Linked DNA regions of Alligator mississippiensis. The protein of the gene in region 1 purifies or fractionates together with the protein of each later gene. This does not show direct contact. Links are inferred from orthologs where the notes say so. Each region holds a gene or a part of one and is shown in the gene's direction. Other genes may lie near its edges. The genes, in order: VAPA, WDR44, RMDN3 and VPS13A.

Evidence for each region.
Region 2: the proteins of VAPA (region 1) and WDR44 purify together in Homo sapiens (affinity purification with mass spectrometry; 3 studies listed by BioGRID and IntAct, counting the BioPlex papers as one, with this or other methods). This does not show direct contact. The link is inferred for Alligator mississippiensis from reciprocal best matches to the Homo sapiens genes VAPA and WDR44.
Region 3: the proteins of VAPA (region 1) and RMDN3 purify together in Homo sapiens (co-immunoprecipitation; 4 studies listed by BioGRID and IntAct, counting the BioPlex papers as one, with this or other methods). This does not show direct contact. The link is inferred for Alligator mississippiensis from reciprocal best matches to the Homo sapiens genes VAPA and RMDN3.
Region 4: the proteins of VAPA (region 1) and VPS13A purify together in Homo sapiens (co-immunoprecipitation; 3 studies listed by BioGRID and IntAct, counting the BioPlex papers as one, with this or other methods). This does not show direct contact. The link is inferred for Alligator mississippiensis from reciprocal best matches to the Homo sapiens genes VAPA and VPS13A.

Annotation. Positions count from the first base shown.
Region 1 is NC_081826.1:95,451,295-95,458,817, forward strand, and holds the start of VAPA (vesicle-associated membrane protein-associated protein A), read left to right. Parts: upstream 1-4,291; 5' UTR 4,292-4,528; coding exon 4,529-4,604; intron 4,605-7,523. UniProt on the Homo sapiens protein: Endoplasmic reticulum (ER)-anchored protein that mediates the formation of contact sites between the ER and endosomes via interaction with FFAT motif-containing proteins such as STARD3 or WDR44.
Region 2 is NC_081831.1:81,640,088-81,648,047, reverse strand, and holds the start of WDR44 (WD repeat-containing protein 44), read left to right. Parts: upstream 1-4,556; 5' UTR 4,557-4,632; coding exon 4,633-4,715; intron 4,716-7,960. UniProt on the Homo sapiens protein: Downstream effector for Rab11 which regulates Rab11 intracellular membrane trafficking functions such as endocytic recycling, intracellular ciliogenesis and protein export.
Region 3 is NC_081825.1:240,765,662-240,773,304, forward strand, and holds the start of RMDN3 (regulator of microtubule dynamics protein 3), read left to right. Parts: upstream 1-4,374; 5' UTR 4,375-4,672; coding exon 4,673-4,856; intron 4,857-7,643.
Region 4 is NC_081826.1:199,029,742-199,037,883, forward strand, and holds the start of VPS13A (intermembrane lipid transfer protein VPS13A), read left to right. Parts: upstream 1-5,103; 5' UTR 5,104-5,156; coding exon 5,157-5,256; intron 5,257-8,142. UniProt on the Homo sapiens protein: Mediates the transfer of lipids between membranes at organelle contact sites. Binds phospholipids. Required for the formation or stabilization of ER-mitochondria contact sites which enable transfer of lipids between the ER and mitochondria.

The DNA of each region.
Region 1 (7,523 bases):
GAAAGGTATAAATACATGTAAAGTGCTAAGGATGTGCCTTTATTGGAAAATTTAACTTGGGTCTTGTTCCTTTTGGTCTTCCTGGTGCTCAGAGGTGTGTTGAATTTGCTGCTTCCATCCTTCCAGTCCTCTCAATCAGCATTGGCCACTTTGTGGGCCTTTCTAGCAGAGCAGGTTTTGTTTAATATTCTTGTGCTGTTTCAAGCCACTCAAGTGAGGCAATTGTAGTAACATTGTTTCCTTGTTATCTAGTATCTCCTGATAGCACAGTGGAAGAATGGATTGGATTTCACTAGCAATTCAAGTCTTATCAAAAGGATATATAGGATCAAGACAATAAACCTGAAAAGTATGTAAGAGGTGATGTTGTCTTGAGCTGAAGACTATGTCTCTTGAGTTTAACCTACTTGATTTACCACTGTCCAGATAAAGAGTAAGGAACCAAATGTCATAATCTCATAAAGTGATTTCCTGCTTTCTGGGTTTAAGAGACATTCCATTAAATGATTTTCCCAGTTTTATTCCCATAGAACTGAAGTCAGATTAATTATCATTTGGCAAGAGGCCCTTTTGGTCAGCCTATTGTTTAAGGTGTTACTGAAACCTATTATCACAACCTTAAATTAGCAACCCAAATGAGTCATCCAGGAAACTCCATCCAGCTGACTTTTCCCTCAGGAAGTAGAAATAAAGGGGTCTAAAATGTCATTTCTTATTGGAGACAAAGGAAAAAAAGATGAATAAATGTCACACCTTATGTCACTCAATTACTAACCCATGATTCACACTTTCAGAACGCACGATCTGAGAGTTCTTAAGAAAAGTTAAATAGTTTGCTCAGTTCTAAAAAACTGACACAGTAAAAATGGAATTTGGGGTTCCCAATTTTTTTAGCATCACAGAAACATCCACATCAAGTCTGTTAGTATTACAAGCAAAATTATATTTATTCTAAATACCTTGGAAACTCAGCGTGAAATGTAAGAATCCCAAGCATCCCTAGAATAGATATTTAGCCATTTGAAGGTCATTAAAAACTAATTTCTACATTGCTAACAGAAGTAAAAATACAACTGAAATTAATTTTTGCCATTAATAATAACATTAAAATTAAATAGAATTAAAATCTGATGGTATTGTGCTAATCACTATTAATTTATGGAAAATGGGTTTTGGCAGACAAACTATTACTGTTTTGTGTGAATCAAAGTTTGACTACTGAAGGTTACTCTGTTGGTCTTATGTACTTACCCTAATAGAGGACATTTGATTTAGTGCCATAGGATGATTAAGGAATACCACAAAAACATGGGGTTCTGAAGGGACCTGTTTTTGGTCTAATGCTTTTCAATACCTTTATGAATGATCTGGAAGAAAATATGAAATCATCCCTGGTAAAAGGTACAGAGGACACAAAAATTGCTGATTTAATTGAGAGTGATGAAGTCAAAATTTTATGTGTATTTTTAATGGTTGTCTATAAAACAAGAATAACTACAGAATATTCTTTATGTATTTCTTCGTGACGTTCCAATGCATCAAAGCAAAATTTAAAGAAATCTTTAAGTTCTCACTTATTCATAATTTATGTGTTGCATGTTGAAACCTAACAGATTCTCACTGGTATCACCTGCACAGTAACTCTATAAATAATTAACTCTTAGCTGTCAAAGGACTTCATCAGTGATACCATAGATGTTTATTTTTTCTGAGTGGAAAGGGAATAAATAGAATAGTCTCTCAGATAAAACACAAGAACGCTAAGCTAGTATATGACTGCTCAGATACAAACATAGATCATACCTGCAGTACACTGGATTTGTAAGGTTACTACAGAAATCCGATTTCTTTGCCTTGTGGGATATTAACTAAATTTTAAAATGATTAATCTCTAATCTTCCAGATCTACATAAAATGAACCAGAAACTTTTACTCTAATTAGCCAGACACACCTGTCAGAAGCAGCTTTTTTTGTAGATCTGTCTGCTACCCCAGCAAAACAGTAATAGATAATTTTTGATGACTTATAACATACGGAGGCTGGGGTGTTAGTAGTGACAACTTTTTAGATTCTTACCCTGCATATGTGCACATGCTTACGTTAATGTGTGTGTCAGTTCCTGTTTTTTCGGTGGATGTAAAGTTAAGATAGATAAAAGTCTGCAGGATCAGGGCTGTAGACAACATAACTTTTATTGATTATACCGATTACTATATTTAGTCAAAACCAAAAGTGAGGTTTTTAAGACGAGGTCCCACCCCCCACCAACATGGGGGAAAAAGCTTTGTCATAGATTCAAGTAACATCTTGGGGCAGGGGGCTGGTGTGGCCCTGGCTCTGGTGCAGAAGCGGGAGCCACAGCAGCTGCCTGCCCCACACTGGGGTGACTTATGCGGGGAGAAGGCATGTGATGGAGGACGCACAAGGGAAATTACACAGTGGGGGAGGTATGGGGAAGACCATGCAGTGCGGGGTGGGGTGTGTGGGGGAGACCCACAGCATACAGCTTGTGGGGAAGTGAGGGAGAAACAGCCTGACCACCCGCCATTGACTTTCCACCCTGCCACTTATCTGTGGCTGGGGGGGGGCGGGGGCGGGGAGGGAAGGGGCAGGCAGCAGGGACATGGAGCCATAGGTGATGGGAGAAAATATTAATTGAGGGGTTGGGTAAAGCTTAAAAGATGCTTTACTGTGCTGCTTTGGGGGGCGGGGGTCAGTGTAGGGTGGGGTGTAGGGGGGTGGTGCAGGGCAGTGTGGGGCACGCCTGCCTGACTCCTGCCCCTCTCTCACGCAGGGCTATTGCAGGGCCACCACATGCTAGTGTTGTATGTGGCGGTGGAGGAGCATGTGGTGGGGGTGCAGGGTGTGGCGCTGCAGCAGCAGGGTGTGGCAGTGGTGCTGGAGCAGTGAAGCCACGCGGCGCTGAGAATGCTTGGGACGCTGGCCTGGCTGCCCACCAAGCAGCACCGGGCACTGTGGGATGGCAGCACTGTGGTGCTGCTGCTTGTTGAGCAATATATATATAACTGTGTTTAATGGATATTTTTGTAGTCAATAAAGCTTCTGACTGATTATCAGATGAGTGCTGGTGGTTAATCGCATAGTTCTCCTTGTCCACAGAGAAGTAGAGCTTGAGTTACAGCCCAACACTGCCGTCACTGGCCGCCACAAAATTAGTTTGGAGGGGCTAAGCCCCATTAATCCTCGACTTCTGCTGCCGATGCATGGGGCAGCAGTTTGGAGAGACAGACAACTTTCTTTGGTTAATTTTAAAGCTCCCACCCACTAATTTAATTTTATGACCCCTTTGTGGGCGAGACAGGCCTGTCACCAGGTCTGAGGAGGAATGACTGGCGTACGTGACAGCGGGGAAGGGTTTTACATGCAAAACCCTCCACCAGCCCTTAACTGCAGCCAGTGCTGGGAAACATTATGCTGTGAAGAATGAAAAGGAAGAAAGGCTGGCTCTTGCTTTTTGAGTCTCATACAAGAGCTTTTGGCCAGGGTGGCTTTGGAGAGGCCTCCCCGTCTGCATTCATCTCCACGTTCTGCTCCAGCTCCTTTAGCAGGTTACAGGTGACCCCAGCCTGAGGCCCTTGGGACAGGTCCCTCCAGGCCCTGCAGCAAGGCAGTGCCCTCTCCCCAGGCAGAGGGATGTAGGCTATGTGGAGGGCTGCCTGTGGTGGGTGTTGTGATGCACTCCCCGCCTGGAGGCAGCAGCACATGGGCCTTCAGAGCCAGCAGCTTGGAAGGGGGTGTATAGGGTGGGGCAAATCCACAGGGGCTGCTGTGTACTGTTGGGCCCTCACCACAGGGCTGAGACGTGCCCCTCACCCCTGGGGCTCCATCAGCCCCTGCTCAGGGCCAGGATTAGCCTGGCTGCTCAGTGGCGCCAGTGGTAACAGCTTTGCTCACGGTACAGACCCTGGAAGGACTACGAATCCCAGCATGCACCGCGCCCCCCGGTCCGGCGGCGGCACATTGCATGCTGGGGCTCGCAGTCCTTGGAGGGTGCGGCAGCCTACGCCTTGAAGGTCGCGCATGCGCAGTTCTTTCCTTAGTTTTCCCTTGCGAGTTTCGCTCTTTTCCAGCTCGCGCGCCCCCTGCCGCTTCGGCGGAGGCAGCACGAGACCCAATCGAGTGCGCTGTCAAACGCCAAACACGGGTCGGGGGAGAGCGCGCACGCGTGCTCGTTGGTGCATGCGCAGCGTGTCCCCCTTCCACCCCCACCGCGGTGAGGCTGGCGCGGGTTCGCAGTACGCGGGCCGTTGAGTCAGTTCCGACAGGAAAGGGCGGGGGGAGCGGAGAGGAGCGGAGCGTGCGCAGGCGCACGGAGCGGGGACGAGGCGGCGTTGGCGGCGGCTTGGCTCGGCCCGGCTCCGTGGCCCCAGCGTCAGCGCCACTGCCCTCTTCCTCCTTCTACCTCCTCCCCCCGCAGCTGCTGCCGCCGCCGCGCCACCCCTCCCCTACTGTCGCCAACTGCCGCCGCAGTGAGGGCGCGAGGCCACGAGCGAGGCAGCGCGCGCGATGGCGGCCGCGGCGGCCCTGGCAAAGCACGAGCAAATCCTGGTGCTCGATCCGCCCACCGACCTCAAATTCAAAGGTGCGGCCGGGGTCGGGGCGGCGGTGGCGACTGCGGCGGGGTGGGGGAAGGGCCGCGGCCCAGCCCGGCGCGGGCGCAGAGCGGGACGCGGCCCCGCCGCCATCTTGCGGGGCCGCCAGCGCTACTTAGGCCCGGCCCAGCCCCGCCAGGTCCCTGGGGCGGGGCGGGGCGGGGCGGGCTCCCCTGGCGCCTCTGGGCCCTGCCTCCGCCGCAGCGAGCGGTCGAGGCTGAGGCTGGAGGATCGCCCTGGGCGGCGATGAGTTGGGGGCAGTTCCCTTGAGGCGCCGGGGGGGAGGTGCTGCCACGTCGAGGGCAGAGTCTGGGATGAAAACTTCTTTCCCCCGAGCAGTCCGCTGCACGCATGCCCCCTCCCGCCCACGCCAAGAGCCCTTTGGGAATATTTTGGGCAGTGTCATTTTGGAAAGTTGCCCCTTTGCAGCCCCAAAAGGGCGGGAGGAACTGGGCGTCCATCTGGTGACAACATTGCCTTTGAGATCTCGCAAGTGAATTGGCTCAGAAATGCCGACTGGCTGCTCTGTAGCGCAGCTGCACCGTCTCCTGGATTCCTGGGTGCTGGGTTTACCCGAGAAGGGCAGGGTGAGAAAGGGCGGGTGTATGCTAAAGCAAAGTAAAGCAGAGGTCACGGCGTTGTAGCGTAGGCCTGTCCATGCAGAATATCCTCCCGAGTTGAAAGGAAGCAGCATTAATGGATGAGAAACAGATGCGGGGGGGTTTAAGACTTGCTGTCCTTGACTTATTGGGCGGCCAGGTACGCATGAAGCCTAGGAGCAAGCTAATTAATACTCTCAGCATGAACCACTAGAGCAGCAGAAGTACGAATTGTAAGTGGAAGCTATTTTTTTTTCCATTTAGAAGTCTTGGGAAGGCTTTCGTGGAAGGCCACGTGTGAAAGCACGCGCATGCTCTGAAGCACAGCAGTGTGCAGTCATTTAGATGTGTAGCGGAAAATCAGTACATCAGTTCACGTAGACCTGTGTGCTGTTCCAACATGCTGCTATCCCAGCACATACCTGTCTGATTTCATTGCTCAGTGTGCATACTGAAAACAACTCTTTCTTTCCTAATGAACTAACATTGACTGTAAGGTGTTGGCAGAGTGAAGCTCTAAATCATGTGGTCTCAGATTGGAAAGAGGCATTGTCCTGTAAAATGTGTGCTGGTTCAAATCTAATGTGTCAAAAAGTTGGGTAACTTTGGTAAACTCTTGTTTTTGTGATTATAACTGATTTGCCTAGATTTTTCCAGTGGCTCACTCAGCAAAGTACTATCGCATTACTAATGGCATTCCAGAAAATACTAATGTCAAACAGAAATCCACTTACGAGTTTTATAGAGACAAAGTACCTTTGACCACTGACAAATAGCTTGAATCATACTCAACTCTTGGTCCCTTTTTTTTCCCCCAGACTTAGTAAAATTTGGTTCAGAAGGGTCTAAAAGCATCCCATTATCATTGCTGTGTTTTGGGAATGATTCCCATGAATAAGATTAAAATCCATTGTTTCTAGTATCTGTAGTCATTACAGGTGTCTGACTTAAAACCCCCGTGCTTGAATGGCATAAAACCAGTTCTCTTTCTTCATATAGTCAGTCATAGCCAATTCTGTGAGTTTGTAAAATTAATCAGGTTCGTCTGTTCATTATGTGATGGTTTTTCCCTTCCAAATGTTTTACAAAATGATTTTAATTATTTTTTCTTTAAACTTAATGGTAAAAACCAGATACAAAGGTGAAATGAATTCCTGATCGTCTCAGTGTATCACTGGCAGAGCTGAGAACTTTAAATTTGTCTCTCTTGCAGCCTGGTCTAGTGTGTGTGTTTGTTTCTTAATTTGTGAACCATGCTAGTGCCTTTAATGAGCCATTTCCCTTATTTTACACTAAAGTATTTAGTATACAAATTGAGATTTGGGAAAGTATAACTAGAGGATTACAGTAGATTTTGAAATGCATTATTTGCTTTAAAAACTTTTAGATTGGAAAGTGGAACATCTGTTATCTTTAATATAGGTTATTTTCACCTGAACTATGTGATAAAAATACATTTATCTGGAGTTCTGGTTCTGTGAAACCCATTTGAAGAAGCTGTAATTTTAACTCCATGAATCTCTTGAGGGTAAAAATATATATTCCATTTTTCTAAAAAAAGTCACCTGCTTAAATATTGGTACTACAAGTTTCTTTTTAAATCTCTCTAGTGCTATCTTAGGATCTCAACGTGTTACTCTTTAGAGTGATAAAGACTTGTTTTGAATACACCTATATTCAGAAGTTGGAAAAAAGAATGGATATCTTGTATTTAAGTTACTTTTTTGGGTGGCAGACCTTTTTTTTTATCTGTAAGCTCCAGCTAAACCTTGCAATGAGGTGTGTTTTTACCTCTACTGTCAAAATTATTTCAAAATATAGTGTTCATCACTGACAAGTCAGTTGTTTTGTCAATATTTATTAGAAACATTTATGGCCTGTTTCAGTTTGCCTTCACATTCTGTTTAACGTAACCTGTTGAATATTCAACATATTTAATTTTGAGGGTTTTTAAGCATTAGCAAGTATCTTCTCTTCTGTCAAGACTATTCCATTTTTGTAGAGGAAGTAAATTAAAAAGTAACTTAAGATGTAAATGTTTAGGATGTTAAAAATTTATTTGATGGATTAAGTTAGTTTGTTTTTTTCAGTTTGGAAATTGAAGCGAGATTAGCTAATTTATGTACTCTTTGGGTTGCAAATCCTGCAGAGAAAAATATGAATGCAAATGCACTGTTTTGTTTGGAATTAAAAAAATATGGAAATATATGTTTATAGTATGATTAAATTCGGGGATTAATTGACATGATGGTGACTCTCTAAAGTATTAGCAAGTGGTATTTTACTTATGATCATAGTTCCAGTAATTTA
Region 2 (7,960 bases), on another chromosome or scaffold:
AAGGCACCCCTGGACAGATTTGAGGCTTCTCCTGGAAAATGCTAGCTCTTAGTTTTCTCCCCTTTTTTGCCCACCAAAAAAAAAAAAAATTAGGAGTTTTTCTGTTGCAAAGACCTGAGAAAGACCATGGCTATGGATTTCTATTGGAAATCTCTGGGTTTATCTTGTGAATTAAGGTGGTAAACCTAACAGTGTTGACATCGTGTGGCACCCTTGAAAGGATCTCAAGGCACCCCAGGGTGCTGTGGCATCCTGACTGAGAATCAATGTGCAGGATAAAGGAAAGGGAGCCTGTAGATCATGTGTCATGCATATTGCTCATAACAATCGCTGTGATTCCGCTTGGACATAAGTGGGCTGACAGCTTTCTGAATACGAGGGCAAAGATTTTATGTAGAGGAGCCTGGGCCTGATTCTGATTTGTAGTTATGTGTGTATGCAACCAGAGTAAATGGAGTTTTACCTCAAATCCCGACCTGGTTCTGGGTGTGCTTTAAGATGCCGGCTATGTCGTCTCCGCTGTGTAACGATATACCCGGCCGTACAACTGATGTCAGCTACTGGCAAAGCACAAAACAATTCAAGGAACATTTCAAATGCATCTTTCAGCTTCTCAGGATGCTTGTCTTTCCAGCTGACATTACATTGTTGCGGCCTTTGATAATTTAGCAGCTCTCCTATCAGCTCTAATGCAATCTGTGTGTCAGACTGGTGCCAGAACAGGAGCAACCGCACTGTGAATCACAACTCAGTCATTTGCTGTACGTGGTGTTTTGCTCCCCACACAGCAGTGCAAGGTGTGAGCCAGGTCCTGTCCTCTCCATTCACCAAAGAAAGGCAAGGATTGCCCGGGGACGTGATGGTTATCCTGGCCCCTGCTCATTACCAGTTTGGCGCTTTCCTGGTTGCTTCTTCTCTGTGAGTGATGTCACCCTCTAATACCCAGCACCAGGAAGATTAGAGCATCCCCTGCTCATGTGTTGTGTGTTGTTTCCTGTAGTCACGAGCAGTCAGGGCCAACCTTTTCAGCAGGTGCATCATAAATTAGCCTTGCACCCACTCTGAGTGCCACTACAGTCCCCTTCCTCTGCCCACATGCTGCCGCCAAGTTGGCCACCTCTAATCTAGACCAACTTAGACCTGGGCTCTCCACTGTCCCTACTTTGCATCCCTTCCTCTTGGCTGAATAGCACTGTGGCCTGTGCTGTTCACACACAATCTTCCCTACAGACTGGTGGGAATAGTGCTGAAGTGCCGTCGTAGCCCTGATGCTCCACAGAACGTACGAGAATCAAGATTTGTTCAGTGAAATCTTTTATTGGACCAACAATGCAGTTGGGAGAAATATTAGACAAGTTTTCGGGCACAACACACCCTTCCTCAGGTCCGGGAAAAGCCGATGTATCCTAAGCTAAAGATTAGGTGGAACAATTTTTGCTTAGCTCTGTTATATAAGTGAAAACAGTCCCTGAAAAAAGAGGGAGTGGTGCAATACAGGTCAGTTCTAATTACTGTCTTTGGGCCTTAAACCTTAATAGGAGCTTTTCTTTTCTCCTGTGTTGCTAATGAGGCTACCAAGACAACGTGGATGTGTTAGCAGTGCTGTGCCAGGGAAGAGCATTATGCAGGTGTCTAGCACTCTCAGTGCTGTACGTCCCCTGTGGTCTAATTTCTGGCATCTGATTCTTTTTCTGGCTGTTCACTTCAAAGTTTACCTATCGGGCAGCAATTGCAAAGCAAGAGGCGCTGCCCGGGGTTTCTGGGATGGACCAGGAACCAAGAAGAGATCCCGACTCTCTCATCTACAGCACCCTGGGAAGGCACCACAGGCCTGGAATATCCCACTGAGTTGCTGAAGGCAGATAAAAGCATCATTGGGTTTATGTCGCATCAGCTCTTCCCGGCTCTCTCTGGCACAACAGTCCCTTCCCTGACAAACTAAGAGGACTCCTCTGGCTCCTATAATTGCATTGTGCTGTTTTCAGTCTCAGTGGCAGTCTGTCTCTGTGTAAATGTCTCGAGTTAGCGACGTAACAGAGACCTGAATCCTCATTCCCCTCTGTACTGCCAGACAGCTCTTGGGGAATACACCTGGATTTAATACATCGTGGGCTGAACCTTTCATAGACTTCGGTCGGGCCTTTGTTTCAGCTCATCATGAAGCTTGTGGGATCTGATAATGAAATTCAGCACCTCCCACCCCCGGAAGGAAGTGCTATTGATAGCAGAGCGGTACAGTGCTGCAGAAAGCTGGGTCTGAGCTAATGGTAGTCAGGCACAGCTTGGTTTCCTGTTTCCACTGGAGTTTGGCAAGGCCTTGTTCAGTATCAGTATTGAGCAGCTGATGGATCAGCTGGAAGAAGCAGCTGTCAGGGGCATTGAACTGAGCATCACGTTGCTCTGAAAGGTTGATGTCTCTGTCTTGTTCGCTTGGTGGAGCAAATTGCTGCAGCTGACGGTCAGTTTGTTGGCCTGCGTATCAACCAGGACAGAATGAAGTCCCCAGACAATGACTGTTTAATACCCTCTCACTCTAGACTATAACCAGCTCATTGTTAATCTGTGCGGCCATGATACCGAGCAAATGGCAACTATCAAATACTTGGAAAGCCTCATAAGCAGTTCTGGAGGATGTCTGAAAGATGTGGGTGCTTGTATAGCCGCAGACGTGTTCTGGGCTCGTCAGCGGCCTCCGTGGAGACACCATGACATTAAGCATCACGGGGGACGAGCTGAGAAGTCAGCTTCTCTCGCAGACAGCTCTCATAGAAGGGGGACAGAGATCTCCCTTGGGAAGTGAAGCTGGTGAGGCCTAAGGCCTGTTACCTCCAGACTAGGCTGTATGGATTAGGGGCTGGGGTACTAGCAGAGAGGGATTTCGGCCAGCTGCAAGCAGGAGAAAGGAGCTTCCTAAGAGCGGTCGCGGGGAAGCAGAGAAGCGACCATGGGAGGGAAGAGTGGTTGCTCAAGAAGCATCGCTCAGCAACAGGAACTGAGCAAAGGACTGCACAGACATAACTGAAAGAGGCGTTTAACGTGTGAGAAAGAAGTTCCTGTTCTGACCGTGCAACCGCAGCCTTGTCCATCTGCTGCTTGGCGCTGGAGGGGAAACGGCCGTATAAAGTGAACCCTACGGTCAAGAACATGTTTAAAAAGCACCAAAAGCAGTGGTTCTCAGCCAGGTGCCGCAGCACCCTGGGGTTGCCTTGAGGTCCTTTCAAGGGTGCCGCGAGGTGCCATGAGTCAGTAGCACAGCTAGGGAAGCACAGAAGCAGTGCTGTGCAGGACCAGACCCTGCAGCCCACTACTCTGACAGTGGCAGATGTGGATGCTGTCCTGGGAGGACATCAAACCAGGGATTCCTAGAGTGACCCATCCCGCATTCGATGCCCTCCCTGGCACCCACCACTTATTGGGCCAGAGATGCCAAAGGACACACGATTCACGGGATAAACCCAGAGAGTTCAGATGGGAATCCCAGAGGTCAGAAACACCCTGCCCTGCTGTGGTCTGGCTGAGCGCTTTGCAGCAGGAAAATGGCTCTAGCAGTTTTCTGTAGTCAAACAGCCAGTGAAAGCTCAGAGCGGGCATTGTCCAAGGGGGGCCTGGAGTCTAACAAGGGGCCCTCGAGTCTAACAGGCGTGAATTGAGACTAACAAAGAGTGTCTTGAGTCTAACAAGAGGTGTCCTGAGTCTAACAAGGGTGTCGCAAGTTTAACAAGGGGTGTTCTGAGTCTAAGAGGGGTGAATCGAAACTAACAGGGGTGCCTCAAGTCTAGTAGGGGTGCCACAAGTCTAACAGGGGTGCTGCAAATTTAATGAGGGGTGTCTCAAGTCTAATGGGGTGTCCTGAGTCTAACAGGGGTGCTGCAAGTTTGATAAGGTGTGTCCTGAGTGAATCTAACAGGGGTGTATTGAGTCTAACAGGGGTGCCTCAAGTCTAACAGGGATGCATCCAGTCTAATGGGGTGTCTCGAGTCTAACAGGGATGCCACGAGTTTAACAAGGAGTGTCCCGAGTGAATCTAACAGGGGTGTATTGAGTCTAACAGGGGTGAATCGAGTCTAACAGGGATGCATCCAGTCTAATGGGGTGTCTCGAGTCTAACAGGGATGCCACGAGTTTAACAAGGAGTGTCCCGAGTGAATCTAACAGGGGCGCATCGAGTCTAACAGGGGTGAATCGAGTTTAGGAGGAGTGCATTGAGTCTAGTAGGGGTGCCAAGAGTCTAACAGGGCTGTCTGAAGCCTAACAGGAATGCATCCGGCCAACGGGGTGTCTTGAGTCTAACGGGGTGCCCCGAGTCTAGGAGGGGTGCCGCGGGTTGAACAAGGGTGCACCGAGTGTGACAGAGCGCTCCCCGTCTCCCGGGGCGGGGCGCTGCGGCGCCTCCCCGCCAGGGGGCGCCCGAGCGCCGCGCGCGACCACTGAACCCTCTGCAGCCCCGCCCCCTGGACGTTCTGCGTCAAGCCGCTCCCCCCTCCTCCCCTTGCCGCCCCTCCCACCCGCGCGGCCCCGCCCCTCGCCGGCAAGTCACTGCGCTCTCGCGAGACGTGCGCGCGGCCTCCGCTCCGTGCTCACCCCGCGCCTCGGGCCGGGCCGGGCCCTTCCGCGCTCGCGTCCCCGCCCCTCATGGCGTCCGACAGCGACACCGAGGAGTTCTACGACGCGCCCGAGGACGTGGACGTGGCCCCGGGCGGCGCCTCGCCCGCGCCGTGAGTGCCGGGCCGCCGGGCTGGGGGGAGCGGGGCGGGGGTGAGGGGACAGCGGGGAGCCAGCCGCGACGCATCATAGGATGCTCGAGGCTGGGCCGGGGGGCCCGCCCCGCCAGGACCCGATCATGGTGAGACACGCTCGTCCGCGGGCTGCCCTCAACACCCACAGCGCTGTCAGGGATGTGCAACATCCTGAGAGTCCTGTCTTCATATAAACATCAGGCAGGCGTGCAACGTCCTGAGGGTCTCGTCTCGAGACCAACGTCAGGCAGGCGTGCAGCCGTAAAGCGCGGCAGCGTCCTGTGAAAGGGAAGACGCACGTGCAGCGATCGGCCTCGCCGCTGTGTATAACTGGGGAGCCCCACAGCGGTAAACCACGGCCACAAAGGAAAATAGCCGGTGCAGAGAACGAGACTTCTGGTGACGTGCTTGTGGCTGGCGCCGCGTAACGGTGTCTGCGGGGCTCCGTCGAATAGGCCTTTTTCGCTTGTTGTACGGCATCGTATAGTTGATGTGTATCGGTGACGGTTTAAAAGTAAAATCCTAAAATAATATCTAAATCATGAAGTATGTTATGAAGCTGAGGTATTAACCATGAATTTTTTCTCTTCCGTTTATCCGTTGTAAACGCCACACTTTTTGTTTAAAGAACGAAAATGGCGCGCTCCACGGGTTCTTGACTGGGCTCGTGTCTGCAGTGCGTGGGCGGGTGCTCCGTGTCGGGGAAGCCTGCTGTCACGTGTGTTGCGTGGTGGAGAAGAAAGCGCGTGAGCTGTGTGTTCCTAGCGGTATTCTCAGGCAAACCTAAACCAGCCCTTATTTCGGGGATGCTAGTCCCAGCGTGTAAACCGCCTAGTGTCAATCCTGATCGCAGTTAGGCCGCATCGTTTAGCGGCCAACTCGAAGCCCCTTGAGCGGCGGCTTCCAAAATGTTTGGCCCACAGCTCACCGTCGATCACAAAGCAACAAATATTGGATGTTTTGTTTCCATAGATACATATGAACACTTCCTTTTGCAGCTCAAAAGGAAGGTCGTTGGAAATGTTATTCCATTGCTAACCCTTCAACTATAATAAAAATACTGGCTGGGCTTAGTGTCTAGAACCAATAATGGATGATCATGCTGGCAAATCAGTAGTGTACAAGTCTGCTGAGGAAATTGAGTCGAGTAGGAAATAAGCGAGACACAGGATAGCTGACCGATTGTGTGCATCGTGATGTTAACTGTTCTTATTTCTTATTCTGATGTACAGTGACATAGAAATTACTTCTGTCTTAAAGGGTGTCTTTTGCATTTAACATGTGGCTGTGGAAGTCCTTTAATTCATGTTCACATTCTAGAAATGTTTAAGGTGCAAAATTATAATTTTTTTCTTTGATTCACCTTTTTTGGCTAGTGGTCACTGACACAGAAAATGTTTCTCTTTTCGTAAGAGATGGCATCCCACACTGGCAGTCTTTAAAAATGTGATGGTTGATTTCTGAGTGTCCTTAGTGTGTTCATGGGGGGGCAGGGGGGAAAGATAACAAAAATGTGGGAACTGGCAGTTCTTAGATATTTGACTAAATGCGGTTTTCTCCAAAAACATTAAATCCTGACTTTGCCATTAATAACATAGGGTTCAATCATGAATATGTATGTAGCAGCTTGGATGGGAGTGAATCCAGAAAAAGGAACTATAATTTAGCAAAGCGATGGTCCAAATTCATGGTTTTGCTTTATTATCTGGGAATGCAGAGAAAGAGACATAATCTAGGGCTCTGAATACAGGGATGGGTCTAATCCTTTCATTTATATGGAAACCTCTGTGACCTTGGAGTGGCGCACAACCTTTCTTTGTTTTGCTGCCTACAAAATAGGGATTATGCTTCCTGCCCACATTGCAGAAGTTGTGTGAAGGCTATTTAATGTTTGTAAATAATTAAAAATTTAAGTGCTAAGTATCACTCGCAGAATCAAAGTAGCATGTGTTAGCTGGCTGTGGTTTCAAGTATCTCATTTACTCGATTACAAGATGAGGGTTATTTTCCCCTATTTAATGTGGAAAGGGGAGCCCCTCACCTTACAATGAGTATGAGGTGGCAGGGGATGGGCAGCAGCTGCAGCTCTGGCTCCAACCCCAGGGTTGAGGCTGGAGGCAGCTGCTGCCTTTGCACCCCTGCCTCTCCCCCTCTTCCCCCAACACTCCTCCCTTGCAGCCTCAAGACACCACTGCTGTCTTCCACCCCATGCTCTGTCTCCCCTTCTGCCTCACTCCTTACCTTTGCTCCATGCCAGCAGGCTCCATCCTTGCTGCAGCCTGGAGCACAGAGCATGTGTTCCAGTGTCAGCTCTGTACTGCTGCTATGGGACCGGATGGGAGCCATGCTCATGACATGGCTCCAGCAGGGATGGAACTTGCAAGGAAAGAGTGGCAGAGGAAAGGGAAGGGAGGTGGAGGGGCAGCTTGGTGGTAAAGACTCTGGGGGGAGGGGGGAAGGGGGTCAAAGATGGGAGGAAGGGGGTGGAGGCCCAAGGCTAGGGCAGGGGGGAGCAGAAGCAGCATGAAGGTGGGGGAAAGGGGGATCTGGGGCTGAGGGGGGCAGGCACAATGGAAGGGTAAGTGGTGGAAGTAGGTGGCCAGGGGGCAAGCTCCCTGCCTCTCACTGCCTGCCCTCACTACTCCCCCTACTGCCTATGCTACCACATGCCCCCTATTGTCTCTCCTACCACCTGCCCCGCCACCCCCCACTGCCTGCCCCCCATCACCTTTCCCCCCCTCTGACTGCAGTAGTGAGGAGGTGAATTTAAGATGATCCTCCAATAATTAGATTCCATACATGGAAAATTACAATACATTTGTAAATTTTCTTTATCTAGAATCTAATTTTTGGGGGGGTTGTCTTAACTTCAGGGTCATCTTGTATTTGGGTAAACATGGTAGCATTCTTTGTACCATATTCGGTAGTCAAAATGTTTGTCTTTCATTGTGTTTGACCTTTCTTGGTATTAATAATTCACATTTTAAAACATGTTTTTCGAAATCCAGGCTGTTCCATCTAGATCAGACAGCAGTTTTTTGTTACTTGTAGTTTAGAAGAAGAACATACTTTTTTGTTTCTAGTCCTGACCCCGGAGCGCTGGTTGCACTTGGAGCTTTCAGTTCATATTGGGGAGCCGTGAGAGTAAGAAATGTCTGAAGATTTACTATATGGAAGAGAGGGTTGGAAAATCCTTCAAAACACAAGGCACTATGTTAGTCCCG
Region 3 (7,643 bases), on another chromosome or scaffold:
CACATGATCAGAGGTCAGGAAAACAGACCTTACGACGACAAGCTGAGAGCCATGGGGCTCCTTAGCCTGGAAAAGCGCAGGCTCAGGGGTGATCCGATGGACACCTATAAGTTTATCAGGGGTGACCACCAGTATCTGGGGGAACGTTTGTTCACCAGAGCGCCCCAAGGGATGATGAGGTCGAACAGTTATAAACTACTGCAAGACTGTTTCAGGCTGGACATAAGGAAGAACTTCTTTACTGTCTGAGCCCCCAAGGTCTGGAACAGCTTGCCATCGGAAGTGGCTCAAGCACCTACATTGAACACCTGCAAGAGTAAATTGGATGCTTATCTTGCCGGGATCCTATGACCCCAGCAGACTTCCTGCCCTTCGGGCAGGGGGCTGGACTTGATGATCTTCCGAGGTCCCTTCCAGCCCTAATGTCTATGAAATCTATGAAATCGCATGAGTAGAAGCACCCTGTTTATACACTAGCCCCTAACGCCATGTACACCTGAGACCACTGTACCATCAGCCAGTAGAACAGCTGCAATATCCACCATCACTCACGCATAAATGGATGCCATTATCATTAGATGCACCCAGTAACTCTACAAAAAGTTGAAGTGAGTCCAGACCAAGGTTGGAGAAATATTTAAGACACGGATGTATAACTAGTGCAGGGATCGGCAACTCCTGGCACACATGCCAGAGCATGGCACACAAAGCCATTTTGCTTGGCACGCCAGATCCGGCCAAGGCTCTGGGCAGGTGCTTCTGGCCACAGAGCCTAGGCTGCTCACAGCAGGCAGCCAGGAGGCTGCATGCCCTGCTGCAAGCAGCCTGGGCTCCTTGGCAGGTAGCAACTGTCCAGAGCTCTGGCAGGATGTGGCAGGCAGCCAAAAAGTTGCAAACAGCTGCACCAGGCTATAGAGCCCCAGCACTGGCAGCAGCTGCAGAGATACCTAAGGGCGCATGACAGGGAAGAAGCCAGGGCCGTGCAATCCTGGGCCCTCCCCTGCTGTCCACCCAGAGATATGCATGCACCTGCCACCAGCAACAAGTCCAACCAGGGCTCAGCTGACCTTGGTGCAGCTGTTTGCAGCCTCCCTGCCACCTGCTGAGAGCAGCCCAGGTTCCATGGAGGGTGGAAGGGACCTGCCCAGAGCCCATGCTGCTATGGCACATGACTGGGAGGCTGCAAGCTGCTGCACTGAGGTCTGCTGAACCCCTGCCTGGCTCATTGCTGGCAGGGGAGGGGCTGGGGTTGCATTGCCTCAGCCCCTTCCCTGCTCCATGTACTGAGGCACAAATGCAGCTGCCACTGGCTATGGGGTGGCGGTGCTGGTGGCGGTGAGCAGGGAGCTCCTGCAGGCAACCACAGTGGTGTCGGCAGTGAGGGAGGGGTTGTGAGCGGCAACCGTCTACAGGCACTGCCAGCAGCATCAGCAGTAGCCAATCTCTGGGGGTGCACCGCCAAACTCAGGGGGTGCACATGCACCTGCGTGCACCCCCTACATGTCGCCAATGGAATGGGGCCAGGGCTCTGGAACCTGGTGTAGCTGTTTGCAACCTGTCTGCTGCCTGCTGTGAGCCTAGCCTCTATGGCCAGCAGCAGCTGCACATGAATCTTGGGGAGCACCGTGGGGAAAGGGCCAGGGCAGCATTACCCCAGCCCCTAAGATTGCACACCTCACAGCTTCCCTCATCTGCACCTGGCATGCCAAGTCAAGGCCTGGGTTGAGGTTGGGGTGTTTTAGGCACTCCAGTGAAAAACACTGCCAACCCCTGAACTAATGCTATGGGCAAATGTAACTTTCAACCAGTTTAAAAAGGGAGTGGGACTGGGAGTTGGGAGTTTTCCCCTCAGGGGTCTGCATCAGTTGTTACAACCTAATTGATATATCACTCTGCTGCCTGAATGAAACATAGCTAAAGGTGTGACAGAATTTGCTACAACTGTATACTGCATCTACAATTTGTTACCCTCATCTTACACACTGGCATAAGTGTTACCCTGTCTACCTCTCAGAGCAACAAGGAAAGCGAAAGACAATTTAATCTGAGTAGCAGGAAAAACTTCCTACTAGTGAAGTCAGCCAAACTGTGGAACAGCCTTCTAAGAGATATTCCAGGCCTTCTTTCTTACAACCTTTAAAATTAGACTAGACTCCTGACTAGACTAGACAGTGCATAGCATACAGAAGGTAACAATTCTATAATGGCAGAGAAAAAGAGCAGTGGATCCAAAGAGATTTTTCCAGCTCTACTGTTGCAATCAAAAGCAGGATTCAAACCTAGTGTAGTTAAGGACTGACAGTACACCTCATTCCATTAGTGACAGAAAGGCTTTAATAACTATATCACAAATGAGCTATAAAACTAAATGACAGAAAAAGCCTCCTTCCCAATATTCAGTAAGTGAGCTATCACAAAAGTCCTAGTATATGTTAGCTGCAATAGTCACTCTCAGAAATGCAGGCAGGAAGTGGTTTAAGTCCTTGCAGCCCTCACTGTGCATGGCTGGGCACACTGTTATTTTAATTTAGTAATTTAAATTTCACGTGTAGGTCTGGCCAGGCTTTCACAGTCATCGCTACTTTCTATGATGTTATTCTAACCATGAAACTAAGGCAGCTTTCTATTGCAGGAAGGAGTTAAAGGGAAGAAGCAAAGGGTCTAAAACATCACCTACCACATGCATAGTCCCTTTCTTTATTGCTTTAATAAAGGCAAGTATCTGCCAAATAAGACAAGCAACAGAGTTTCAACTAAAATTGTGGTATGATATATTCTGATATCATCTTTAATATCCGCAGTGATATGAATTCAGATTCATGCTGCCCCGAGGATCTGTTATTGCTTTACTGATAAGAGGACTGGAAATAATGTTTGGAGCCTTTCAAGTTGTGCAGTCTTTTTTTTTTTCTTTCATTATTTGACCTTTATCAGAACAGACATGCTTCAATTACTTTCACTGAGTGCAGCTGAGGTAGAAGCTTTATCTGAAAGGCAAAAAATAGATTTCCAGGCAAGATAGCTGGAAAGTTCAGAGACTGAGAAACTGCTTTACTTCTCAAATTACCTGAACACAACACAAAGGCCAAAAGTTTTTGAAGACAAAAGAATCCAAGCTTAAATGAGCAACACGTTGAAAGGCTGGAAGATCCAAAGCCTTGGCTTTCCCTGTCCCATTTCCTGACTCTCCACCAAAACCGCTGCCTCCTTGTGGCCCAGTTCAACATAAAATGCAACTGGGGCATGAAAAGGACCCAGAGAAGTGGTTCTCAACTTTCTTAGAGGGCAGACACTCCTCAGAAAATGCCAGCTCTCAGCTTTCACTCCTGTTTTGACTACAGAAAAAGAATAGAGTGATTCTTCTGTAGCAAAGATTACAGAAAAATTCTGGCCTGCTGGGTTCTATTTGACACGGTGGAATCCTATTTGAAATCTCTGGCTACATCCAAACGAGTGTAGATGTTTGTTTCCTGGGGGACTCATAGCAGCAGCATACTTTGTGTCACTGCTGCTTGCCCCAGGGGAACACCTGTACTACGTGCGCTCTGGCACATGGCAGGTTACCCCAGGTGGGGTAGGGGAGGCTGCAGCCAGCAACTGCACTGGCCCCAGCAGCCTTACCTGGGGTCTTGGGGACCACCCAGAGCTGGAGTCACAGCAGGAAGCCTGGCCAGCAGCTGGAGTGGGGCTCCAGCCAGCCAGGCTCCAGTTTCCGGTGATGTGCAGTGCTACCATATGTGCCCCCCGTTTCTGTGGCATGGGTTTTTTTTTTTAAACTGGGATCAAGAACCCCCTCCCCCACCCAGCTGCAAGACCACAGCATGGGGAGCACCTGCATGTGTGGTGTGGCACCACACACGGGTCTACAGCAGCACATCCCGCACACCTGCACTTGTCTGGACATGGCTCCACACTTCTCTCATGACGCGCATTTGCCCACCTTTGAGTGCTAACGCTACGCAGCGCCCTTGCAAGGCTCTCACGGCGCCTCAGCTCCCTGCCTGAGCACCACTGGACCAAGGGTTTGGGGCAGGAAGGCCAAAAGGACGCCTGGGGGAGCCCACAGAGAGAGCCGCAGGCCCGGAGCTCCCCAGCCCCAGTCACTGGGCAGCGTCCCAAGCAGTCGCACGCACAACTCGAGACTGAACTAACCCAGGGGCAGGAATCCTCCCATTCAGCTCCCCTGCCCCATGCTCATTGGGCCCTGCGGGTCACGTGCCCTTTGCGCATGGCCGGACACTTGCCCTCCAGCAGGGGGTGCTAGACAGTGCTCGATTCCGTCATTCCGTTGCCGCTTGCTGGCAGCGGCGAGGCCAGGGTGAACGGAAGCTCGGCGCTCTGTAGACGTCATCTTTGTGCGTCAGGGGGTGTTTGTCTGGGCTGCGGCGGGACGGTGACCGAGTGGGGCCAAGCCAAGCAGAAAGCGTAGGGTGCGCCGGCGTGAGTAACCCCGGGCGCCCTGCTGTGTGCTTGGCCCTATGTCGTGTGCACGGCGGGACTGGGGGCTGTGAGAGCCCCCGGAGGGGCCGCCAGCAACGCCGCCACAGTCCGCGCCAGCGGCCAGGGGCCGCAGGATGACAGCAGGCAGCCCCGCCCCCGGGGCCGGGCCGGGAGGCGCGCACGTGGGCAGGCGGGCCCCGCGCTGACACCCGGTCGCTTATTGCAGGTCGCCATGGCCAGGCCGGGGCCCGCCCGCCTGGCGTTGGTGCTGGCTCTGGGCGCTGCGGCGGGGCTCGGGCTGCTGTACGCGCTCCGCCGGCAGAGGAGGAACAGGCCGTGGCGCAGCGGCAGCGCCGGGGACTGCCCCGGGCAGGGCGCGGAGGACGCGGCGGGGGGCTCGCGGCGCCGTGACTGCGGTACGGTCCACGCCCTGCGCTCCCCGCCCCTCGCCTGGGCTGCCCCGTGGGTCGGAGGGTGCTGCCCCGTCCCGTCCCCCCTGTTTGGCATTGCTCTGCGCCCAGAGCCTCCCGGGGCCGGGGCGAGGGTAGAGCACGCGGTGAAGCCTGTGAGAGCTGGCGCCTCGGGTGGGTGCCCGCGACCTGCCCCCTGCCTTGCCCTGCGCCTGGCTGCGGGGCTCCCGTCCTCGGCTGCCCCGCAGCTGGCTCTGCCCTGCACTTCTCGTGCCCTCCAGCAGCCCCGTGTGGAGGCGCTGGCAGAGCTAGAGAGTGTGAGCCTGGTTGAGAGCAGCAGGGGCAGCTTCTCCTACATCCTTTTTAGCCCTGCGCCCTCCCCCAGCACCACGCTGATCCCCTGCTCCTGCTAGATCTGCTGCTCTGTTTTCTGCCGCTGCCTGATCTGCTGCTCTGCTCCCTGCCCCCTCCTCATCTGTCACGTGTTGCACAGAGAGACCTCCCGTGCCATGTGTGGCACCCGGGCCATGCAGGCTGGCCTCCCCAGCAAAGAACATGGTGATGAAAGGGAGCAGTCTCCGACTGTCACCATTTAGACGCCCGTCGTTTACATTCCCATTCTGTGCCCTGACCCCGATCTTTGTGGTGGGTTCCCCCATGCATGCAGTGGGACTGCAGGCAAATGTAGGGACTTGCCAATGTGCAACCAGCTTCCGGGTCTTGCCCAGAATAGCTCCTGTAGTATAGTTATGTCAACCCCCATGTATAAGCCAGGTCCCTGTTTTCAGGCTCAAGTTGAAGAAAAGTAGGATTTTTACCAAATATAAATTGATAACGACAGGTAAAGGCCTTGAATTCCTGTTGCCCTTACAAAATCCCACAAAAATAACCAAGGGAAAGACCCAAAAGATTGCTATGTTTACCTGAATCTGAGGTGACTTCAAATGTAAGATGATACCCTTCCCCCCCATTACATTTTGTACGTGGAAAATCTGTAATTTTCCATGTATTGAATCTAATTATGTGGGTGGGAGTTGTCTTAAATTTGTCACCCTGCTGCTGTGGCATGGAAAGCAGTGGCAGGGAAGGAGGTTGGGGGCAGGCAACTGATCTCTAACCCTTGTGCCCCCACTAGTCCACCTGTCACTTGCACCCCTACCCCCCTCCCACCAGTGCCTCTGCCTTCCTGCTGCCTGTGCGCCTTGCTACTTGCCACCCTGCCACCTTACCCCCCAGCTCCTACGCCTCTGCCACCTGCTCCCCCCACTGCTGCTTGCCCAGCGCAACTCTGGCTCCAGCCCTGGCTAGATAGCAGTGGTAGTACAACCCCAACTATGTCCCTTGCTGGGTCAGGGCTGGAGAGCTGCAGCAGCAGCAGGAATAACTCCCTTGCTGCTCTGCAGACTCCCCTGTGCTCCCGCCATCCTGCACTACAGCATCTCCCTCTTGTTCTTCCTGTATGCGTAGTCTTCCCAGTTCTCTCTGCCTCACATCACATGGTCTCCCCTGGTGTGTCTCCCCATCCTTGCTCTACAAGCCACCCTGGCCCTGTTCAGGTAGCAGCAGCAGTAGCAGCTCTGGCTGTAGCCCTGGCACTCAATTCCAACATGAGGCTCTGCCCATGTTAAATGGAGAATAAAACCTCATCTTAGATTCAGTTGAATATGGTAAGTGCACTAAAATACTAAAACAAAACCTACACTGCAAAAGTATTTCATAATGACATAAGAATTGCCACTTACTGGATTAGACCGTAGGTCCCTCTCGCCCACTATCCTGTTACAGAGTGCCTGGTGTTCTCTGCTTGGTGTCTCCCCTTGGCACACTGGTTATTAACCATTGACCAGCACTCCTGTCCCTGTTTGTTTATTATTTGGCCCCAGTAATCAGTTGTCAACTTTTTTTGTAGGCTCCCCATCTGAGGGAGGCCAATAAGCTACTTGATGGGCCTAGGCCCATGCCCCTCAAGGTGACAAATAGGCCTGTATCATATAGGGTCCAGTGTGCTCTGCTGGTTATTACCCTTTGACCTCCACTCCTGTCCCTGTTTTCATTATTATTTGTCCCAAGTAATTTATAATATGTTATTAGTGGCCCCCAGTACTAAAGGGGGCTTATAGATCCACACCCCTCAAGGTGACAAATAAGTCTGTCACAGTGTCTGATGGGCCCTGCTTGGTGTCCCTGCTTGGCCAAGCAGGGCCTAAAACTCCCTAAAACTCCACCTTTGGCCTTTACTCCCATCCCTGTTATGTTTTTAGTTGTCCCAAGCAGTCAGTTGTTGTCTACATAGTGACCTCCCTTTCTAAGGAAGGCTTATAGTGTTTCCTTGTGGCCATTGGCTCGCATTCCCTAGGTAACAAATAGGCCTGTGTCATGCAGTGGCTGAGTGGATGCTGAAAGGGAGAGTGAACTGAGTTTGACCAGGGTTGATTTTTTTTTCCACTGTTCCTCTCTCACTTGCAGCCTCCAGCATTTAAAGTCTAGGAAGTTCTAATTCAGAGGCTGTATCCCTAACTCCCATGCTCAGTAGCTAGTGACTGAAGACAGAAAAGTCCAGTTCTGCCACAATCTGATTATAAGCACTCGCTATATAAGTTGAGTGTGATTTTTTTTTTTTTTTTATGTAGAAGAAAAGGTAGACTTATAATAACAGTGTTCTACCTTAATTTACTTTTAATCATTTATGCTCTCTCTTTTCTAGAACATCCTTTAGCCTAGACACTGAAGAAAGAGTAAGTTTTGCTTCTGTGTCTGGTCATCTTCCATTTGCTTTCACTAGCATACTAGTAA
Region 4 (8,142 bases), about 100 Mb from region 1:
CTGGGAGCTGACCTTGCCCGTGAAGACTGAGGTGAAAAAGGCAATGAGCAGACTTTTCCTCATGATCTGTCACAAGGTTGCCTCCCCCATTCAGTAAGGGACCCACACTTTCCCTCACCTTCCTCTTGTTGCTAACATACTTGTAGAAGCCTGTCTTGTTACCCTTCATGTCCCTTGCTAGCTTCAACTCCAATTGCACTTTGGCTTTCCTGATTTCATCTCTGCATGCCCAGATTATATTCTGATACTCTTCCCTAGTCATCTGTGCAAACCTGAACTTCTTTTAAGCTTCCTTTTTGTGTTTAAGCTCACCAAAGAGTTCTCTGCTAAGCCAAGCTGGCTGCCTGCCATATTTGCTGTTCTTCCTGCACATTGGGATGGTTTCTTCCTGTGCCTTCAGTAAGGTTTCTTTAAAATACAACCAGCTCTCCTGGACTCTTTTCCTCTCAGAGTGGCCTCCCAGGAGATCCTGCCCATCAGTTCCCTAAGGGAGTCAATGTCTGCTTTTCTGAAGTCCAGGATCCATACTCAGCTCTCCTTTCTTCCTGCTGTCAGTATCCTGAACTTGATCATTTCATGGTTGCTGCTGCCCAAATTGCCTTCCACTTCTACATCCTCCAGTAATTCTTCCTTATTTGTGAACAGCAGGTCAAGTGCATGGCCCCTAGTTGGTCTCTCCCACACTTGCACCAGGAAGTTGTCTCCAACACTCTTCAAAAACTTTGTAGATTGCCTGTGCACTTCTGTATTGCGCCTCCCAGAAGTGTCTTGTCATGTTGTATTGCCCTTCCAGCAGAGTGATTGAAGTCCCCCATGAGAACCAGGGCCTGTGATCAGGAAACTTTGCTAGCTCTTTGCAGAAAGCCTCATCTACCTCACCCTCCTAGTCTGGTGATCTATAACAGATCCCCATCACCCTTGTTGCTCTCCTCTGTGACTCTAAACTCAGAAACTTTCAACAGACCTATCTCCAGGTCCATACCGGAGCTCTGAGCAATCATATGGCTCTTTTACATAAAATGCAACTCCTCCTCCTGCTCTTCTTCCCTGCCTATCCTTCCTGAACAGTTTATACCGATCCATGACAGTACTCCAGTCATGCAACTAATCCACCAAGTCGCTGTTATTCCAATCACATCATAGTTCCTTGACTGTGCAAGGGTTTCCAGTTCTTCTTGTTTGTTTCCCTGGCTCTGTGTGTTTGTATACATACACCTGAGGTAAGTAGCCAATTGCCTTACTTTGTAAGGAAGAATGAGAAGGCCTCCACTGTTGCCCCCTACTGATTGTGCTTCCTCTGGGTCTCCCACTTCCCCACTTACCTCACGGCTTTGGTCTCTATCCCCTGACAAACCTAGTTTAAAGCCCACCTCACTAGGTTAGCAAGCCTGTCAGTGAAGATACTCTTCCCTCTCTTCATTCACTGAATCCCTTCTCTTCCTAGCAATCCTTCTTCTTGGAGCAACATCCCATGGCCATGGAGCTGAATCCTGGCTGGCAACACCATCTGCACAGTCATGCACTGACCTGCGGGTTGCATTGGCTCCTGCCCGGGCCCTTCCCCTTGACTGGAAGGATCGTGTACATAAATAATCAGTTCAAATAAGCAGTGTAACTGCACGAAATGGACTTGCTTTGTAAGTTATTTGCAGGACTGTTCTTTTCTTCAATGTAAGTGCTGACAAGCAGCAAAAGAGCTAGTTAAAAAGGAGCATTAAGTCATAAAGAAAATACAGAAATACAAGCAAGTGATGGAGGCCGAATGTATTTGCATTAAATGTAGAAGTGGTCATAACTCAATGCAAATATAACCAGAGAAAGTGGTGTTTTAATGCTATTTAGGGCTCTGTGGGTTGAACCACTAAAATGTTCTAAGTAGTATATTATACATCAAGGTTCAGTATATGAATTTCTAAAACCAAACCGATAATATATAAAATATATATAATTGTTATAACTTAATGTACAGGTTATTAGATTAAAGATGATGTTTACTCTGAACTAAAAAAATAGCTGTTATTTTCTAGTACAGTGTACTGTAAGCATGCTGTAAATATTTGTCAAAGAATTTATCTCCCTGGGCATACTAAAAACAACTATAAATTAATCTAATCTTTATAGATTTGGGCACAATTTTAAAATCAATATTCAATAGCATCATTGAGTTCCTATTACTAATCCTCTTTAATCTTTTTCTTTGGATATATGAGAATAGCAGCTTATGAATACCACAGTGATTTTGACATTATGTCTTCATTTATTGCCCGCACATAAATCTCCTTGGAACATTTCTATCTAACTTTTCATTTGTGTTTCCTTCCAAAATAGTAAGGTTATGTTATTGCATTTTAATCTCTTTTCTGTTTTCCCCCTAGACTTCTCCCTAAATTTATTTCCTTTCACTGTTCAGTTTTTATATCTATAGGTACATATAAAAACTAATCTGCTATGAGGTGCTTTACAAACTCTTGTACATAGCATGTTGCATTCTGTGAATTCTTATTCCTTATTTTTTGCTCATTGGGGCCCAGATGATATACAATCTTTCCCTTCTACACCACAAAACCTCTGAAAAATAATTTGGGGCTATATAAGCCCCAGTCTTCTATTCAATTCACTCTTGGTATAACTATATACATACAATACCTTAGAACCCTGGTCAACATCAGCAGAATTACTTACTACTGCCACCTGTTGTCAGCAACGGTAGTATAACTTTAACTCCAACACATCCACAGCTGGTTCAGAAATTGGGAGTAAAAGATTAATCTTTTTTGGAGATGGTGCTGGGTACGGTTTGCCTTTGCCTGCACTGGCAGCTGTATTGTGCCCAGAACCAATTTCCCAGAATTTGCTACAGATGATTAGGGCCAGCAACCAGTAACAGCTAATAGAAACAAGATGGGAGAAAGGCACTGCTCAGAGCCACGTCCAGTAATAGCATGGTTAAGACATTCATGCTTGGATCCCTGCCTATGCGATCACTTCCATGAGAGGCAAAGTCGGTCTTCTGATACACCTTGCAAGGAAACTACATGGGTCAAGACAACTGCTAGGAATATGCTATGACAGAAAGCAGGGCAGTGTATCACTTTATAGACCAGGGATTCTCAACCAGGGTGCCATGAAATGTTTTCAAGGGTGCCATGGAGTGCCACACAATATCAGCACCGTTAGGTGGGGAAGCATGATTCAGAAGATAAACCCAGAGTTTTCTAATAGGAATCCATAGTGTTGACCTGTTGCAATCTTTCTGAGTTCTTTGCAATGTGAGAATTGCTCTATTATTTTTCGTGGATACAGGTTTTAGCCATGTTGGTCTAAGAATACAAGTTAAATAGAAGGCAGGGTAGATTTGTGGATAAATATCTGTGTGTGTGTGCATGTGTGGCAAATCTACCCTGCCTTCTACTTGACTGCAGACTAACAAGACTAACTACATCTCAGTCCATAACAGTGGTCTTCAACCTTAGGCGGATACTATATGTGTGTGTGCATATGTGTGCACCTGCATGTGTGTGTGTGTGTGTGTGTGTGTGTGTGTATGTATGTGTGTTTTATAGTTTCATAGTCGTTAGGGGCTGGAAAGGACCTTACATATCATCGGGTCCAGCCCCCCTACATGTGGACAGAAAAGACTGCTGGGTTCAAATGATCCCAGCAAGATGGCCGTCAAGAGGTTTTTTGAAGATAAAAATGTTTTTTGAAGATAAAACATACGTTGAAGTGTGTGTGTGTGTGTGTGTACATACATACAGAACAAACTTTCATGGGCTGAAGCTGTTTATGGCATCTGATGAAGTGAGTTCCAGCCACAAAGGCTTGTGCTATATCTATCTATCTGTTTATGTAAATATATGTATATACAGATAGGCAAGGCATTTGTGCAGATGTGATCTCTTTTATTAGACCAACCGATTAGTTGGAAAAAAGTTCTTTGCAAGCTTCCCCCCACCCCGTCAATATTCAGTTGGTCTAATAAAAGAGATCACATCTAACCAAATGCCTTGCCTGCCTGTGTCCTAAGACCAATGTGGCACAACCCTGCTATATGTATATGTGTTTATGTATATATGCATGCATATGTATGTGTATACATGTATGCATGCATATACATGCATGCAGATATATGTATGTGTGAATATATGTTGTTTGTCCTTTACAAATGAAGATGACCGCATGGGGGAGGTGAGGGAAGAAAGGAAGCGGGGAAGAAAAAGGGAGGGACAAAAGAGTAAAAAGGAGAAAGAAGAGAGAGGAAGGGGGTGGAGGCTAGGTCCCCTGGGTAGGCAGGTGACTTACAAGCCCAATGGTTGCCCTGAACAATCTGCTGCAGCAGCAGGGGCAAGGATGAGGACTGGACACTAGAGGACTCGTGTCCAGTCCTCATGAATATACATTTATGCATATGTGTGTGTGTGTGTGTGTGTGTGTGTACACAGGCAGACAAGGTTCCTTGGGTGAATTTGATATCTTTTATTAGACCAACCCAAATAGTTGGAGAAGTTATTAAGTGTATTAATAGTGTTGTGTCCTTAGACCAACACGGCTACAACCTACACCCCTGTACACACACACACACACACACACACACACACACACACACACACACGCGCGCGCATGCATGTATAGAATCTATACGTTTTCGGTGAGTTCTTGAATCATTTGGGATTAGTTCTCGAATCTATACGCTTTGGATTAGTTCTTAAGGTGCAAACCCTCTTGTCTCGTGCCCCTGGACAGCAGCTGGCTGGGAGGCTCCGTTTGCTCAGCAGGAGGCTGCATGGCCCTCCACGTAACCCCAGTTTTCCGCTCCTCCCAGGCCGGGACAAGGGAGGCAAAGAGACGCTCGACCCCGCGCCTGGGGCCGCCCCGCCCTGTCCTGTCCCGGCCGAGCCCCAGGGCCTGCAGCCGCGCTCTACACATGCGACTCCCGGCGGGAGAGGCGCGCGAGCCCCACCCCCGGCCGCAACGGTCTCAACGGCTGCCCCCCCCAGCTCCGGCTCGCGCGCACCGCCCCATAGATGGCAGGCGCCGAGCGTTCCTTCTGCGTCTGCGCAGTGGGGCGGGGCGGGGAGCAGCGTGAGCTCAGGGCGCGAGGGGGCCTGCAGTGCGCTGCTGCGTGAGGCGGCGGCGGCAGCGGCAGCCGGGCCACAATGGTGTTCGAGTCGCTGGTCGTGGACGTGCTGAACCGGTTTCTGGGCGACTACGTGGTGAACCTGGACAGCTCCCAGCTGAAGCTGGGCATCTGGGGAGGTAGCGCGGGGCGGTGGTAGGGGGTCCTGCTTCGGCCGGGGCAGCCGCCGCCCCTGCGAGGCCCCCCCCCCCCCGCCCAGCTGCGTCTAGTGGGCGCTGCCCGCGCCACCCCCGCAGCGCTGGGGTGATTAATGGGCCTGGCATGAGGGGGAGGGGACCCGTGCTCTGCACCCGCCCGAGTCGCCTGTTTTCTGGGCAGTGGGCATGGTAGAAATACGGGTGCTAGGCAGCCAGGAAGCACCTGCCATGCCTGGGATTTACAGCTCGTTTGGCTCCCAATTTCTTGGCGAGGAAGCTCCAGCCCCTGCACCCACAGCGTCCCCTTTTGGGCCTTGCTCAGCGTGTGGGTTGCATGTGCCCCGCCTGGGCGTTCATCAAGATTGCAGCTTGCCAGGCAGTGCCGTGTGGTCGGCTGGACCCCGTGGTCGCGCAGGCGTCTGCCCGAAATGTTCGTCTCCTACGGTGTTGCTTTGAAACGTCCATAAGCAGAGCTCGGTCTGTTCAGACAGCGGGTCGTAGGTTTGGGAGCTGGTATCTGACGCCCTATGAAAGAGAGAGAGGCTCCTGCTGCAAAATTGTCTTTTAAACGCTCCCTCCCCCCCCCCCCCCCCCCCCCCCCGCAGAGTTTGGAGCAGAAGCACCGCCAGCCTGAAAGGAATGAGTACTACATGTAAAGGCAGAAGTGACAGCATTGACTTTTCCCTTTTCAGACACCAGTGGTGACCAAAATCAGCACCCCCCTTCCCCACAGTCCATTCCTCGCTGCTTAATGTTTCCAGCTCAGTTTAGTAGCACTGAAGAAAAGACAAGTGAAATTGAACCATCTTTGTTTACTTGACAGCATAAATTTACCAGGCAGTGTTTTAACTTCGGAATTTTACCTTAAAATTTTAAGGAGTGGTAAATGCGTGGGTTTTTGGAAAAAACTGTTAGGCCCCTTCCATCAGAGGTGTCCCAGTCATTCCCACACTCTTGCCAGTCCTGCAGGCTGAATGTGGATCACAAAGCTTCTCACACACCAGATAACCTGCGTTAGCAGCAAGGTGGTGGCAGTTGTCAGTGTGATTCCAGGACCCAGGGCACAAATGCTGCCATCATTCGCCCCCTTTTTTCCCCTGTTGCTGATTTTAGTCACCATTGGTGTCTGAAGACCCTGAATTGGCAGCAAATAACAGAGCAGGGCAGAGCACAGCAGGCCTCAGAGTGGTTGGTTGGACAGCCCTTTCTTAAATCGTTGGCTTAGTTTTTTAAGCCTGTAAGAGCATAGCTCCCAAAAGTGATTAATGTCAGAAGTAACACCTTGATGCAAGTAATTTCTTATAAAGCTGCATTGGCATCCGGATTCACTCAGCCAAAGGTGTGCAGGAATTGGAAAATAAACAGAAGCTTTATTCTTGGTGGAGTGGGGGTAACTCAGTTCAGGATAGTAATTAATATAAGTCGAGCACAATTTAGGATTTAAGTAATAGTTAATAGAGACTCTTTGGTTTTAGGCTGGTAAGAATTCCATCTGGCCAGCAGGTGTCAACACACATATTAGGAGTCAAAATCCTCTGGGATTTTTACATCTCTAGGGCTGAGGCTTGTTTTCTTAATTAGGTATTCATATGTTTAGATCAGATTCTGGAAACTTCCCATGATTCGCTACTACACAAAGACCTTTCTTTCTTTTGTTTTCTAACATTGCTCCTTTATCTGGATCCACCTCTAAAGTAACATCTTTTGAGAGGAAGGTATTCTGTCTCCATGAACACTTAGTCTCTGAGCATTTCTAAAGTTGGAGCAGCCCAGTTTCTGCTGGTCTCATGATAATGGTCCTTATACCATTACATGTAAGATACACTGAACACACAGTAATGGTATCTGAATTAAAAGGATTGGGTTATTAGTAAACATGGAATATATCCAGTATATTAATTAATTACTTTGCCACTCTTGTGTTCCAAAAAAATAGGTCATTTAATATTAATCTTTATGGCTTTATACAGGGGTATGCTTTTGCCAACAATAGTGTATCAGTTGTCATGTGGTCTTGGGGTGGATAGAGCCTGAACTTCTAATGTAAAGTGCACGAGTTGCCTATTTTTATAAAAACTTACCGGTTGCCTACATAATTACAAAGGGTAAACGTTTTTTTCTTTTCCCTTTGCAAATATTCTTAAAGATGTGTCCCCCTTGTAGTTTACCCACACAATATTGGTGTTTGCACTAGTGAATTTAATCTACTTAACTTCTTTTCAACTGAATAGGAATGGGTAATTTTACCTTGGTGGGAGAGACCTGCAATTTTACGATTCAGCTGCCAGAGCATGACATGTCATCTGACTTTAGGATTAGTCAGTTACTCACTTTGAAACAGAATCAATTCTGTCATTTAAAGGAATTTAGACATGTTTTTTCTTACTTTCCTATCTTGTGGTGGACTCCATCCAACTTCCACTTTGGTGTTTATATGCTTACAATATGTGATGATTGCCATGCATTTCTGTGGAAAGTTTTATGCATTTTGGTTTACTTTGATCTAATAAACAAGTATCCTGCCCTTATTCAGCATGGTGTATTGAAAATTAATTCCATCCAGTTGATTCACTGGACCGATGCAACATTTTAGCTCTGTCCTAATTAGACAGCATCAGTAGGGGAAATGTTGGGTGGGGGGAGAGAGGGATGATTTCCTTCTGGTTCCTTCTGTTTTACTATTTTAACTTATTTAACATTTATTTTTTGTTGCATATTTTGCTTTTATTCAATATCCTTTCATTACAAAAATTCTCCAAGGCTTGGTAAAATACACACTCCTCCCATTAAATGTTGCCCTGCTGCAGTGAATGGTGGTAGTCAATAAGCCCTAATGATCTTAGTCATAGGATCATTAATGTCTGCTGC